3 linked regions of the Caenorhabditis elegans genome follow. The protein of the gene in region 1 purifies or fractionates together with the protein of each later gene. This does not show direct contact. Each region holds a gene or a part of one and is shown in the gene's direction. Other genes may lie near its edges. The genes, in order: hpo-29, smg-6 and cku-70.

Region 1 (4,886 bases):
AGTTGGCTAATTTTTTGCCTGATTCAAGGTTTAGTTTTAAAAAGTGCAGTTTTGCCGACCGGGACGGTTAATTTACGGACCATCTACGGACCGGCTACGGCCAAACTACGGATGATCACCAAAACGGAGGATAATACGAAAAAATTGTTCATGAAAATGGAGTTTTTGAAGTGCCTACACTCTCCTTTGGCTAATTTGAGCACTTTTTCCGTGCTAGAACCTGAAATTTTCAAAAACAAAAATTTGGTGCCCGGGACGGTTCATTTACGGTCCGTCTACGGGCCGTCGACGGACCGTCTACGGACCGGAAACGGCCCAACTACGGCTCAAGAGCCATCTCGGTCGGTAAATGTGGTTTTTGCTCTGAATAATGCATTTAACGACGTAAAAATGCTTGAATTAGCCAACTGGTATCATAGGTATTTTAAAAAATTCGTTTTCTTAAAATCCATTTTTTCCTCTTAATGGCCATTTTTTACATTCCCCGTAGTTTGCCCGTAATTGGTCCGTCCCGCTTTTCATATCCGTAGTTCGCACGTTAATGGTCCGTTCCCGGTCCAAGATCCGTAAACGGACCGTACCCGCTTTGCCTGTGTGACGAGCTTAAGACAAAATATTACGACTTTTTGTCAAATTTCGGGTCTCGAAGCGAAAATATCGAAAACTTTGGATTTTTTTTTGGGTTTTTCCAGATCTGTCAGAGCTGCATGCCGGGAAGTGCCCCAATCTGCTTCCAACGCAACCCCCGCTTCACGTAAGTCCTAAAAAAGCGGGAAATTCGAATTTTTGGCTAAAAAATCAGAGTTCTGGCCTATTTTTCTCGATATTCAGTCAATTTTCCACGGTTTTTTAGATTTCCCCTCGTTTTTAGACTTTTTCTCAACTCATTAAGCTTCAGAGGCCTCGCCCAAGTCTGCCTTTGCACCTACAATCTGGAAAATCCCATCGACAACGCCGCCTTCTCACTTCGCCACGAAAAACGTGTGTTCAGCCGCAAAATCCGCCGTACCTGATGACCCCCGAATTGATATTTTATGTGCTTTTTCATTGAATAAACTGCAATTTGTTGGATTTTCAAGGCTTTTTCAGCTGAAAATTCAATTTTCGGCTCATTGTGCATTTTTGCGTCATGGTGTTTGTTTGAAAATATGGGTTTGTCCAGGTTTTTCCCAATTTTTATAACATTTTAGCATTATTTTCGATGATTTTTCAGATTTTTCAGCTAATTTCAGATTTTTTCAGATATTTTCTGTATTTTCAGACGGTTTTCCAAGAAATTTCACTTGAAGCCCAGCGAGAGAGCGTGCAAAACGAGGAGAGTGCGCGCGCCAGAGGACGAAAACTGTGCATTTGTGCGTGGCGGTGTTTGCGGACTCACTGCTCATTTCCCAGAATTTCTCATCAATTTTACACTATTTTCGATGGATTTTCGACGTTTTTTCCCAAAAAATACACGTTTTTCGTGTTAAAACGTGGAAAAACGTGTTCCGCGCCTTTAATTTGCCACGGGGCACACGGAATTTCGGAGATTTGGCAGTTTTTTGGCGGAAAACACCGATTTGTTCGGCGGGACAATTTTGTTTTCTTAGATTTTCAGCGTTTTTTACTGATTTTTTTGCTTTTTCAGTGGTTTTCTGCTATTAAAACTGTCAAAATCGAGTTTTTCATGCCTTAAAACCCCCGGAAACCCTACATTTTAGGCCAAAATTCATTTTTTCGCGGAATTTAATCGTTTTTAGGCTCAAAAAATCGATTTTCTTCTCGTTTTCGTGCTCTTTTCACGTTTCCTCACCGACTTTCACCTCAAAAATCCAAATTTTCAGGTAAAAATGCCGACACCACCAGGACAATCGAGCAGCCAGCCGTTGCCAGCCAAAGAGCTCGGTTATTTCAAGAAAATCGTGGTATTTAACTCGAATTTTGCTGAAAAAACCGAAAAATCACTCAATTTTTGCAGAAAAGCTACGAGCAGAAGCAGTACAAAGCGGGTTTGAAGTTTGCGCAGAAGATTTTGACGAGTCCCGGCTTTGCCGAGCATGGAGGTACTGCTGGACCGGAAAATCTGAAAAAATGATGCGAAAAACTGGATTTTCACGGGTTTTTGAGTGGAAATTCGGTTTTTCAGCTAAAAATTCGAGTAAAATCGCCATTTTATGCAAATTTTATCCGGAAAAACTCATTTTCCAGCCAAATTACAGGAGAAACCCCCGAAAATTAAGAATTTCGCCAGATTTTTGTGAAATCGGGTGCAAAATATCCCAAAAATTTGATTTTGAGCCGATTTTTCAATAATTTTGACTCAAAATTTGAATTTCTATGAATTTTGGACCGTTTTTCCAGATTTTTCGCAAAAATAACGAATTTTGACGCGAAATTTGTCCAAAAACCTGGTTTTTAACCGATTTTCGCCGAATTTGGACCATTTTTCCCATAAAAATCTCAATTTTCTCAAAGAAACGCTGGCAATGAAGGGATTAATTCTAAATTGCATGGGAAATTCGATGTTTCTGTTAAAAATCGAATTTCTTAGCGAAAACGGCTGAATTTCGGTGGAAAACATTCGAAAAATGGTGATTTCGGCACAAAATTTACTTGAAAAATGAATTTTGAACCGATTTTTCTACATTTTTGACTCAAAAATTGGATTTTTGGCCCGAAATGTACTTAAAAAAATGAATTTTGAGCCTATTTTGGCCGATTTTGGACCGTTTTTTCCTAATTTTGAGCTATTTTTGGCCCAAAATGTACTTACAAAATCGATTTTAACCGATTTTCGCGGAATTCGGACCATTTTCCCCAGATTTTTCACAAAAAAATCTCAAAAAAATTGGATTTTTCCGCACAAAATTAATTAAAAAATGAATTTTGGCCCATTTTTCCTCATTTTTGACTCAAAAAATTGGTTTTTCGCACGAAATTAACTTTAAAAATTGGGTTTTAATCGATTTTCGCCGGGTTTTGACCCATTTTTCTTCATTTTAGACCCGAAAAATCGGTTTTTGTCATAAAATTCACCTAAAAAAATGAATTTAAATCGATTTTCGCCAAATTTGGACCATTTTTCCAGATTTTTCGAAAAAAAAATCTCGAAAAATTGGATTTTTTCGGCACAAAATTAATTCAAAAAATGATTTTTTGCCCATTTTTCCTCATTTTTTGACTTAAAAATTGGTTTTTGGCACAAAATTCACTATAAAAATTGATTTTTAACCGATTTTCGCCAAATTTTGACCAATTTTCGTGATTTTTACCCCCCAATTTCGCCCATTTTTCTTGCAGAAACGCTCGCAATGAAGGGTTTAATCCTAAATTGCATGGGAAATTCGATTTTTCTGTTAAAAATATCAAAATATACTGTGGGAAAATCGAATTTCTCAGCGAAAATGACCGGATTTCAGTGGAAAACATTCGAAAAAAATGAATTTTAAACCGGTTTTTGCCAATTTTGGATCGGTTTTTCTTCTTTTTGGCCCCAAAAAATTGGCTTTTGGCACAAAATTCCCGTAAAAAATGAATTTAAATCGATTTTCGCCAAATTTAGACCATTTTTCCAGATTTTTCACAAAAAGTCTCAGGAAATTGTTTTTTTGCCCAAAATTTACTTACAAAATCGATTTTAACCGTTTTTTGCCAATTTTGGACCGATTTTTCTTCATTTTTTATCCAAAAAATTGGATTTTCACCGATTTTCGTCAATTTTTACTCCAATTTCACTCATTTTTCTTGCAGAAACGCTCGCAATGAAGGGTTTAATCCTAAATTGTATGGGAAAACTTCAAGAAGCTCAAGATTGTGTTCGTCGTGGACTTGTATCGGATCTCCGTTCATATGTCTGCTGGCACGTATTTGGACTAATTCAAAAGACTGAAAAGAAGTACGATGAGGCAATTAAGGCCTACAAACGGGCCTTGATGCTGGAAAAGGACAATTTGCAGATTTTGAGAGATTTGAGTCTTTTGCAGATTCATATTCGTGATTATGACGGATATTTGGTAGGTTTTTTTGATCGAAAAAATGACGAAAAACGGTTGATTTTGAGCTAAAATCTGGAAAATTCGCTGATTTTTGCTTTTTTTTAAGTGAAAATTCCATAAAAATTGTGGAATTTTGGCCAAAAACCAGGATGTTAGCACGTTTTCCGTGAAAATTCCATTCGAATTGATCAATTTCGGCTGAAAAACGAGAAAATTGACAGATTGATTGCACTTGTCTCTGTAAATTCCACACAAAACCCGTGTTTTGGGCGTTTTTGTAGTCAAAATTGACGAATTTTGACCCAAAAATCAGGAAATCGGCATATTTTGCCGAATTTTGACTGAAAAATTGGGAAATTTCACACAAAACTCAAGTTTTGGACAGTTTTAACCGGAAATTTCAAAAATTGATGATTTTTGTCTACAAAAACTGTTAAATTTACCTAATTTTGGTGCTGTTGAGTGAAAATTTCATCCAAAACCCAATTTTGAACACTTTTGGAGAAAATGCCTTGGAAATAGTCGAATTTTGACTGAAAAGCTGACAAATTAAAGGTTTTGGCACATTTTGAGTGAAAATCGACGAATTTTGAGCCAAAAACAGGAAAATTGACCGATTTCGGTGTTAGAGAAAATGCCTTGAAAAATGTCGAATTTTGACTGAAAAGCTGACAAATTTACTAATTTTGCGGTTTTTTGTGGGAAAATTCCATTGAAAACGGCTAAATTTGACCCAAAATTCGAGTTTTGGGCTTTTTTTTTGGTGAAAATTTATGAATTTTGGCCAAAACTTTGGGAATTTAAATGATTTCGGGGCTTTTTCTGTGAAAATTCCATTGGAAATACGATTTTTGGCCAAAAAATGGAAAATTTAACCCAAACTATGTGAATTTTCTTCAAAATCGCCAAAAA
Region 2 (4,711 bases), 2.2 Mb from region 1:
AGCTTACTTTAATTACTATATTAATCGAAAAAGAACGTAAATTGACAACATTTATTGCTCAAATTTGAAAAATTGCTGCATTTTTGAGCATTGTAATTAATTACAACACACATATATATATATAATTTTAAAAAATGACGAAATTTAATTTTTGAGCAAAAAGAATTGTCAAATTTCGTTTTAGTAGTACTTTTGTACTTTTGTTTAAAATCCCAATTAGAAACGTTACTTTGAAAACTACCATATTCTTGAATTTTTTATTTCAAATTTCGGTTATAAACGCTATTTAATTCCCAATTTCCAATGAGCCTCTACTAGAGTCTTCCCCAATTAGAAATCGATACCGAAAATTCCATTGTTACCCCCCATGTACTTTCCCATGTCTCTATTTGATGGGTGGCTAATCAAACAATTACCCCTTCCCTCCCCCCACCCCGCCGACGTGTATGTTCTGTTTAGCTTAACAGAAGGTACCCGCTCCACCAGTGATAAGAATTGTTTCACTGTGTTGTATGTGTTTGCATTTCGGAACAGGAAAACGTTTGGTGGTGGGGGGACATAAAAGTTACATAAAACTTTTTTTTTGTTACTTTGCGAAAATCGAAATAAAAGTAGCGATCTTGTGATATCGGAGAAATTTAGGGTTTACTAGTATTCTTGGGAGGGAAAATCTCAAAAAATCCGAATTTCCAGACCCAAAAGGCCCTTAATTTATATAAAGTATGGTTTTCAGAACTTAATAGCTTGGTTTTAACTATTCATATTAGTTTCAGCCTAAAAATATGACATTTTTTAAAGTTTTAACCAAAAAGTTTCTCGTCGAACCTATGAGTTTTCCCACGTGGTGTGGTAGGTTGTAACGGTGTGATCTACAAAAATGCGGGAATTTTTTTCCCCAAAAAATGTGATGTCAGCACAGTGTTAACCATGCGAAATCAGTTGAGAAGTCTGCGGCTAAATTCGCGCATTTTTTGTAGATCTACGTAGATCAAACCGATATGGGGCATTCTGACATCACACCAATTTTCAGCTTTTTCCTGGATTTCTAGGTACAAAATTGAAGTTTTCAACGCTTTTTTGGAGATTCCCACGGATTTTTAGCTATTTTCAACGGCGGTTTTCGGTTTTCCAACACCCACAGCTTTAGAAAATGCAAAATCCCGTCTAAAATCTAGAGGAATGACGAATTTTTGCGAAAAAATCTGTTTATCCTCTGCTCATCCCCTCGTAAAGCCCGCTGTCAACACCTTTTCTTAATTAAATTTTTTTGCTCCAACTCCGTTCTCACGTGGTGCCAGGCTGTCCCATTACGGTTTGATCTACAAAAAAATGCGGTTTTTTTTGCCCAGAAAAATGTGAAACCATACAAAATCAGTTGAGAACTCTGCGCCTCTTCTCCCGCATTTTTTGTAGATCTACGTAGATCAAGCCGAAATGAGACACTTTGACACCGCGTGCTTTCTCTTCAATTATAGCTTTTTCTCCTGAACTTTTGCAGTTTTATAGCGTAGGTAGGCAGGCAGGTAGGCATGCCTGAATCTGTATTTTCCTTTTTTTGTATGTTACATGCTTCTCTTTTATGATATATCTCAAAATTCCAAATTTCCAGCTCACCAAGCAAAATGAACGGAGACACAGACGCCTCGTCATCTAGGACGGGAGCTCCACGAAAACCGCGCCCAGAAATTCAAATCTACCGTCCAGGAATGCTCCGCCAGGGAGGGAGCACGAAAAGCTTGAGCTCTACGAACGAAGAAGCACGACCACCACGCCCGGAGAAGTTGAACACAACAACGACGACGATGTCGGGCAATTCCAGACGAAGAAGCAACGATACGGACAGTGTGACGTCACGTGGTGGATCTGGAAGTACGACGCCCGATGCAAATGTGATTAATGCCATGAATGAGCGAGGTGGAGGAAGGAATCGATTTGAGAAAGGCTATCGACAACAACAGAGAACAGATGGGCCATCGAATTATGTAAGTTTTTATCTTATCGCTCAAAAACCAAAAGTTCTACCCTAACACTACAGAAAAAAACTGAAATTACCTAAAACCCTCAAAAAATTTTGGAAAAATTCATTATCTAGCACGGGGAAACGGTGTCAGAGTGCCTCATTTTGACGTGATCTTCGTGGATCTACAAAAAATGCGGGAGTTGAGACGCAGAGTTCTCAACTAATTTTGCATGGTTAAGAACGTGCTGGCGCCACATTTTTGGTAATAAAAATTCCCGTATTTTTCGTAGATCAAACCGTGATGGGACATCCTGACACCACCCTCAGCAAATTTTGAAAAACTAATATTTTAGCATGATAAAAGCCCCAAATTCAGCTGAAAATGTCTCAAAATACCTTAAAAGCACTAGAAAACGACTTGAATTAACGGAAAATCTTAAAATCTATGGCAAAACTGATATTTTTACGGGAAAAGCCAAAAATTTTCAGTAAATCTCTCGAAACCCAAAGTCTTCACTATGAAGTAGCTGAAATTGACTGAAAACCCTCAAAAATTGTTTAAAAACTCATTATTAGCACGAGAAAATACCTTAGTTGGCTGAAAATCCCCAAAAACGCCAAAAATCCAAATATTTAACTCTAAAGCCACTGTGGAACGGCTGAAGGTAACTCAAAATCCTCAAAATTTGAGAAATCACGTGGTATCAAGTTGCCCCATAACGGTTTGATCTACAAAAATGCGGGAATTTTTTGGCCAAAAAATGTGACGCCAGCACGTTCTTAACAATGCGAAATCAAATGAGAACTCTGCGTCTCTTTTCCCGCAATTTTTGTAGAACTACGTAGATCAAGCCAAAATTGGAGACTCTGACACCACGTGAGATCACGTATTTTGGCTCTGGAATTTAGCTGGAAAAGGTCTCAAATTCTCATGAAACCCGACTGAACCCAACTTCAAACTGGCTGAAAACTTATATTTTGTCTCGAAGACTCCAGGAAAAAAGCTAAGAATTGCTCAAGATTGAACTCAAATCCCCAGAACTAGACAAAAGTCTGAAATTGACTGAAAAGTTGCACACCCCTACAAATGTCCCAAATCCCACGAAAACCATTCCAATTCCAGAATTCCACACAATCCCTCTACGACACACGGCAACATGGTGGCTATATGGAGTACCAGGGCAACCACCGATCGAATCACCGGAATAATGGGAGATACAGTAACCAGCAGCATCAGCAGCATCGGCAACCGTTCGAACGACCCGGCGGAAATCATTATGTAGGTTATCAGGTTTTCTTAATGGAAGTGTCTGGGGGGGAGAAGGGGTGAATTAATTAGAATTAATGGGATGTGTGGGATGTGAAGTGATCAGTAAGGTATGATGGGAATATGGAAACTTTAGGAAAAAAGAAATTTTGGGGAAAAAGAGATAAATCGCTCAAATTCTAGTCTAAAACTGTAAAACTTAGTAGAAATTGTACCAAACAGCTGAGAAAAGCTTTAGAAATTAGCCCACTTCAAGAAAATTCACGTCTAGTACAGAAAGCTAGAGATTTTATCAATCTGGACAGTTTTCCATACAAATTCGAGGTTTTTACTGGTGAAAACTGTCAGAATTTGAGAAATTTGACAATCTGAACTTAGAATTACGTTTAATACCGCCTTAAGAAGGCATGATACCGTTTCGAATTGTAAAACTCTGAACAACCTTAGAAAATTGTCCGTTCTCGAAAAAAAACATAAATTTTTGCGGAAATCACCATTGAGTACGATAGTCAAGTACGCAAACACGACGCGCATTTACAAAATTGCGTATCAAATATTTTTTGAGCTAAAGCTTTTTTTGTTCAAACAACCAAACTTTTAAAGCTAAATCTTTTCAATTTCCAGACCCGCGGCTTCAACGAGCGAGCTTCCATGCGCGGGGACGGCGCCATCGCCCGACGTCCTCAAGGATCCCGTCGCCAACGCAACGATTCCATCAACTCTACCCAATCAGAAATGCCACCTCAAACCGGTGCTCAACTTCACATTGACACCTCATTCGACTCGGCATCTCAGTGTGGAGCCTCATCGAATTTCTCGATGAATTCCCTTGGCGAGGCGTTCAGTTTCGAGGAAATGTGCCAGAACCTGCAGAATTTCGCGTCGATGGATTGGAGTAAAGAGGTGGAAAATGAGTTTGCAATGCAGAAAGAGCAGGAGGAAGAGGAAGAGCGACGGATGGAGCAGAAGCTTCAAGAAGCTGCTGCTCAGGAAGCTCAGAAAGCGGCGTCTCCGAGGAGAAATAACCGAAGGAATAATCGAAGAGGTGGAGGCAACAGTCGGTACCATCCCGATGAATCCGACAGAGAAAGCTCGTTCGGTGGAAGTATCGCCGAGGAAAAAGAGGAAGAAGAAGCCGAGGAAGAGCTCAAAAGTGGTGAGAGAACTCCGACTTCTGTGCGAAGCGGCAACTCTTATAATCCACGTGTTCTGTACCAGAGAACACGTGGAGCCAACGACGAGAACCATCCGAAACGAAGAGACGCCGCCGTGGAGAAGAAGCCGAAAGAGCCGAGACGGTACCGCGGTGAGCATGACGATCGGGATGATGATGCTTCGGAGTATCATGGAACGCTGGAGAACCATATGTCGTCGGGACGTCTTGCTGGGAGAATTCAGATTGTGCAGCGCTCGCAGAATGGGACGGAAGCCGGGGGAAATCGTGAGTTTTTTTGGGAATTTTGGAAATTTTTCAGCCAGTTTCA
Region 3 (4,815 bases), about 11 Mb from region 1:
CTATTTCAGCAGCTATTCAGCATTTTTTTTTTTCAAAAAAAAAATTACGGAGATAAAATTATTCGGCTTTTATAATTTTATTACTCAATCCCGAAATTTCACGATTTTTGCGCCCGGGTCTCGACACGACAAATTGTTGTTGAATGCGAAAAGGTGTGCGCCTTTAAAGAGTACTGTAGTTTCAAACGGAATTTTTTATCGATTTTGCGCATAGATTTTCACACGATTTGTTAAAATTTAAGCGGTTTATTTCAGTTTTTCTAATAAAAAGCATATTTTTTAACGAAAAACTGAAAAAAATTGGATGAAATTTGAGAAATTTTCATCCATTTTTTTCAGTTTTTCGTTAAACAAAAAAACTGAAATAAACCGCTTAAGTTTTAACAAATCGTGTGAAATTCTATGCGCAAAATCGATTAAAAAAATCCGTTTGAAACTACAGTACTCTTTAAAGGCGCACACTTTTTCGCATTCAACAACAATTTGTCGTATCGAGACCCGGTACCGTATTCTTTGAAAAGCTTGGCTCAAATAATTTTAAATCCGTAATTTTTTTTCAGTAAATTTTTTCTCCGATTTCTGAGTTTTTTTTTTCGTTGAAAATTACAATTTTTCACTAAAAATTAGCATTAAAAGTTCGATTTCCAGGAAATTTTGTACAATTTTTTCTTCAAAAAAGTTTTTTTTTTCCAGAAGCCGCCAAAGTCCGTGTCGAATATAATGGGTGCAAAATCGATTCAATGATGTTGGCTGATCGAATCAATGAGAAATATTTGGAGAAAAATGCCTATAATCGAGTGGATCTTTCATATATTTTTGCGCCAATGATGAAAATTCAATGAATTTATTTTCTTTTTTTTTTGAAAATTTCCCCCCAGTTTTGCGATTTTCCCGTCTTTTTTATGTCGAAATTTCTAATTTCCTAATTTTTTTCACAAGTCATTTCCTCCTCCTCCATTTTTCCATTTTCTCCTAATTTTCAGTGAAAAATTCTTTATTTTTCCCCAAAAAAATATTCCCGAAAATACTCAAATCATATCTGATAAACAATCGAATCCTGTGTTAATTCTCCCTTTTTTCACTGAATTTTTGGAGTTTTTCCATCTCTGAAAAAATTATTTCAATTTATTATAGTATTTGTGTCGACTTACGGGGAGAATTTGAACATTTTCGCTATTTTCAAATTTTCTATGCAAAGTAATTTATTTTATTGTAAAATTAAAATTTTTGAGCAAAAAATAACACTTCTCCTCGAGGAGTACACGAAGGCTGCTGCGTAAATCGACACAGGGGTTGTCGATTTACGAGGGATAATGTTTCGGAAACTGAAATTTTAGCCAAAAAAAAAGTCGAGATTTTGCAAAAAAATTGAACTCAAACTTGTCCACGTGTAGTTCAAAATCCGTCGTAAATCGACACATGCATAAAAACCGTGTGTCTATTTACGCAGCTGGTGTACTCCTCGAGGAGAAGTTTTTTTTTTTTAATTTTTCAGTCACGAGCTCCGTAAATCGACAAAATATGATATTTTTTTCTCGAAAAATTTGAAAAAAAAAACTTTCGAAATTTTCAAAACTTGAAAAATGTCAAATTTCAAAGTTTTTGAGAACAAAAATATTTTAATAAATATTTTTAAATTCAAAAAAAATTAATTTTTCGATTTTTTCAGTCAAAATTTGAATTTTTTTTCGAGAAAAGTTTGAAAAAAATCAATTTTTTTCCAGATGGACGAAACCCGCTTCGAGGATGACGATTTCGAGGGTTCAACGGCCAATAAAAAGTACACATTCTTCATAATTGACGGAAATCCGGCAATGTTCGAAACGTCGAAAGCCGGTGAGCCGCCAGAGTTCAAGCTTGCTCTGAAGCTCATTCTCGACGAAATAGTCCGTGTTTGCTGCTCGCGGAGCCTTAACAATCATATCGGAGTGATTGTCACTAGTACTGTACGAGTTTTTTCTGAAGAATTTCTGAAAATTTAATAATTTTTTAATTACAGAAAAACTCGGAGACCGAGGGACTCGAAAATAGCACTCTGCTTGTGCCGATGGGTGTTCTTGGACAGGAAGAAGTGAATAAGATTAAGGAAATTGCGGAGGAAGGTGCGGAAATCGCGGACAATTTCTGACATTTTCGTGGTTTTTTTTCTCGGCATTCGTCGTCTTTTGGCGACTTGGCACAATTTTCGCAGTGAATTAGGCAAACTTCTAATTTTTCAAAATCTCGACAAATTGGCAATTTCCAGTTAAATTTCGAGTAAAATCTACAATTTCAGAATATTATACGCAATCTGGCAATTTTTTGGCAAAAAATTGATTGTTCTTTTGACTTTTGGCAGAATTTCGGTAGATCACCACTTTTTTGAAAATTCGAACGATTTTTTTCCGGCAAATAGACAAATTGTCGGAATTGAAAATTTCTGGCAAATTGCCAAATTGCCGGACATGACAATTTCTGGCAAATTGCCAGAATTAAAAGTTTCTGGCAAATTGCCAGAATTGATTGAAAATTTACGGCAAATTGCCAAATTGCCGGAATTGAAAGTTTCCGGCAAACCGGCAAGTTGCCGGAAACTTTCATTTTTGGCAATTCGGCAACTTGCTGGAAATTAAATTTTCCGGCAATTCGGCAAACCGGCAAATTGTTGGAAATTAAAGTTTCCGGCAAATCGGCAAAATGCCGGAATTGAAAATTTCCGGCAAACCGGAAAATTGTCGGAAATTAAAGTTTCCGTCAACTCGGCAATCCGGCAAGTTGCCAGAAATGAAAATATCCGTCAATTCGGCAAACCGGCAACTTGCTAGAAATCAAAATTTCCGGCAAATTGCTGAAAATGAAATTTTCCGGCAAATCGGCAAGTTGCTAGAAATTAAAATTTGCGGCAATTCGGCAAACCGGCAAGTTGCCGGAAACGAAAATTTCCGTCACGGCAAACCGGCAAATTGCCAGAATTGAAAATTTACGGCAAAACTGCAAACCGGCAAGTTGCCAGAAATGAAAATTTCCGTCAATTCGGCAAACCGGCAAATTGCCAGAAATGAAAGTTCTCGTCAAAACGGCAAACCGGCAAGTTCCCATAAATGAAAATATACGGTAATTCGGTAAATCGGCAAATTGTCGGAATTTAGTTTCCGGTAAATCTGCAACTTGCCGGAATAAAAAATTTCCGGCAACAATTCGGCAAACCGGCACATTGTCGGAAATTAAAGTTTCCGGCAAACCGGCATTTCCGACAATTTGCCGAATTTGCCAAACGGCAATTGCCGTCCACCACTGCTTTCGACAAAACAATTTCCGGTATTTTTTTTTCAAGAAATTGGCAATTTTCGACGCCAGAACTTAGCTTTTCATAAAGAGCGGCCTGAAATCGTGTAGGCCACGCCGCCTAGAAAATTGGCAAAACAATATTTCATAATAACCTAATTTATTTTCAAAAAAAAAAAAGGTTTTTTTGTGAGATCTCTTCAATTTTCAATTTCTCATCCATCACCACCACCACCACCACCTCAATTCGGTTTCCTCATTCCGGCCTTTATCTCCCGCATCAATTCATCTTGCCACATGGAATGAGTCTCCTCAATTGTCTGAATACTTATCGCCAACTCACGCATCCGATCACAAGCCACCTCAAACTCACGAGTGGCATCATCAAACCGAGTCCGATTGACGTCAGTGTCGTTGCTGGCGTACTTGTTCGCAGCACTATCCATATCGAGACGTGTCTTATTCAAATTGGCAATTGTATTTGTGTGAAGCTTACTCTCGTTCTGTGTGAACGCCTTGTACCGCTCACAAATCGCCAGCACCTTATCCATCGACTCGACTTCTGCCTCCATCCGCGTGTCGACACAATTGATGAACGGTTGCACGTTGATACGATCTCCGAGCAGAGCATAGTTCTCCAGTGGGCCTGAAAAGTTGGCTTTCACTTGCCAATTTGCCACGTCGTTCAGATTTGCCATGTGCTTGTAGAGATCCTGGACGCGGGGCTTCAGAGATTTGAAGTAGATCAACGCCTCGTCGATTTCGGCGGGAAGCACTGTCGCCTTGCTTCTGCCCGTCTTTTCTTTCACTTTTTGCTTTAGTCGACTGAACATTGTTGAACAACTCACGCACACACCACCGAGTCGAAATTTAGGAATAAATTGAATTTTGAATTTTGTCCGCGGCGTTTTTTTTTTTTGCTGTTGGAATTTTGAAATTTCCAACGTGGAATTTTGGGATTTTCACGGAAAAAAATTTGATATTTGAGTTTTGTTCAAGTTTGAAAAAGTTAGAAAAGTTTCAATTCCGGCGATTTGCCGGTTTATCGGAAATTTGCAATTCCGGCAATTTGCCGGTTTTGTCGATATGCCGGAAATTTTCATTTCCGCCAATTTGCCGATTTGCCGGAAATTTTCTACTCCGGCAATTTGCCGGAAATGTTCAATTCCGCCCATTTGCCGGTTTGCCGGAAGTTTTTAATTCTGGCAATTTGCTGGTTTTCCGTAAATTTTCCGATTTGCCGGAAATTTTCTATTCCGGCAATTCGCTGGTTTGCCAAAAATTTTCAATTCCGCCAATTTGCCGATTTGCCGGAAGTTTTCAATTCCGACAATTTTCCGATTTGGCTGTAGATTCCATTTCGGCAATTTGCCGGTTTGCCGAAACTTTCAGTTCCGGCAATTTGCCGATTTGCCGGAAATTTTCTACTCCGGCAATTTGCCGGAAATGTTCAATTCCGGCAATTTGCCGGTTTGCCGGCAGTTTTCAATTCCGGAAATTTGCCGATTTATCGGAATTTTTAATTCCGCCCATTTGCCGGTTTGCCGGAAG

The links.
Region 2: the proteins of hpo-29 (region 1) and smg-6 fractionate together in Caenorhabditis elegans (co-fractionation; one large-scale study listed by BioGRID). This does not show direct contact.
Region 3: the proteins of hpo-29 (region 1) and cku-70 fractionate together in Caenorhabditis elegans (co-fractionation; one large-scale study listed by BioGRID). This does not show direct contact.

What each region holds. Positions count from the first base shown.
Region 1 is NC_003281.10:234,021-238,906, forward strand, and holds the start of hpo-29 (N-alpha-acetyltransferase 16, NatA auxiliary subunit), read left to right. Parts: upstream 1-1,823; 5' UTR 1,824-1,829; coding exon 1,830-1,904; intron 1,905-1,957; coding exon 1,958-2,042; intron 2,043-3,729; coding exon 3,730-3,992; intron 3,993-4,886. Other genes in the region: hpo-38 (DUF19 domain-containing protein), read left to right, coding at 693-754, 899-1,013.
Region 2 is NC_003281.10:2,472,259-2,476,969, forward strand, and holds the start of smg-6 (PIN domain-containing protein), read left to right. Parts: upstream 1-1,609; 5' UTR 1,610-1,622; coding exon 1,623-1,982; intron 1,983-3,083; coding exon 3,084-3,239; intron 3,240-3,851; coding exon 3,852-4,668; intron 4,669-4,711.
Region 3 is NC_003281.10:11,153,103-11,157,917, forward strand, and holds the start of cku-70 (Ku domain-containing protein), read left to right. Parts: upstream 1-1,724; coding exon 1,725-1,946; intron 1,947-1,999; coding exon 2,000-2,102; intron 2,103-3,506; coding exon of another isoform or gene 3,507-4,097; intron 4,098-4,815. Other genes in the region: pola-1 (DNA polymerase), read left to right, coding at 694-842; Y47D3A.31 (BAR domain-containing protein), read right to left, coding at 3,507-4,097.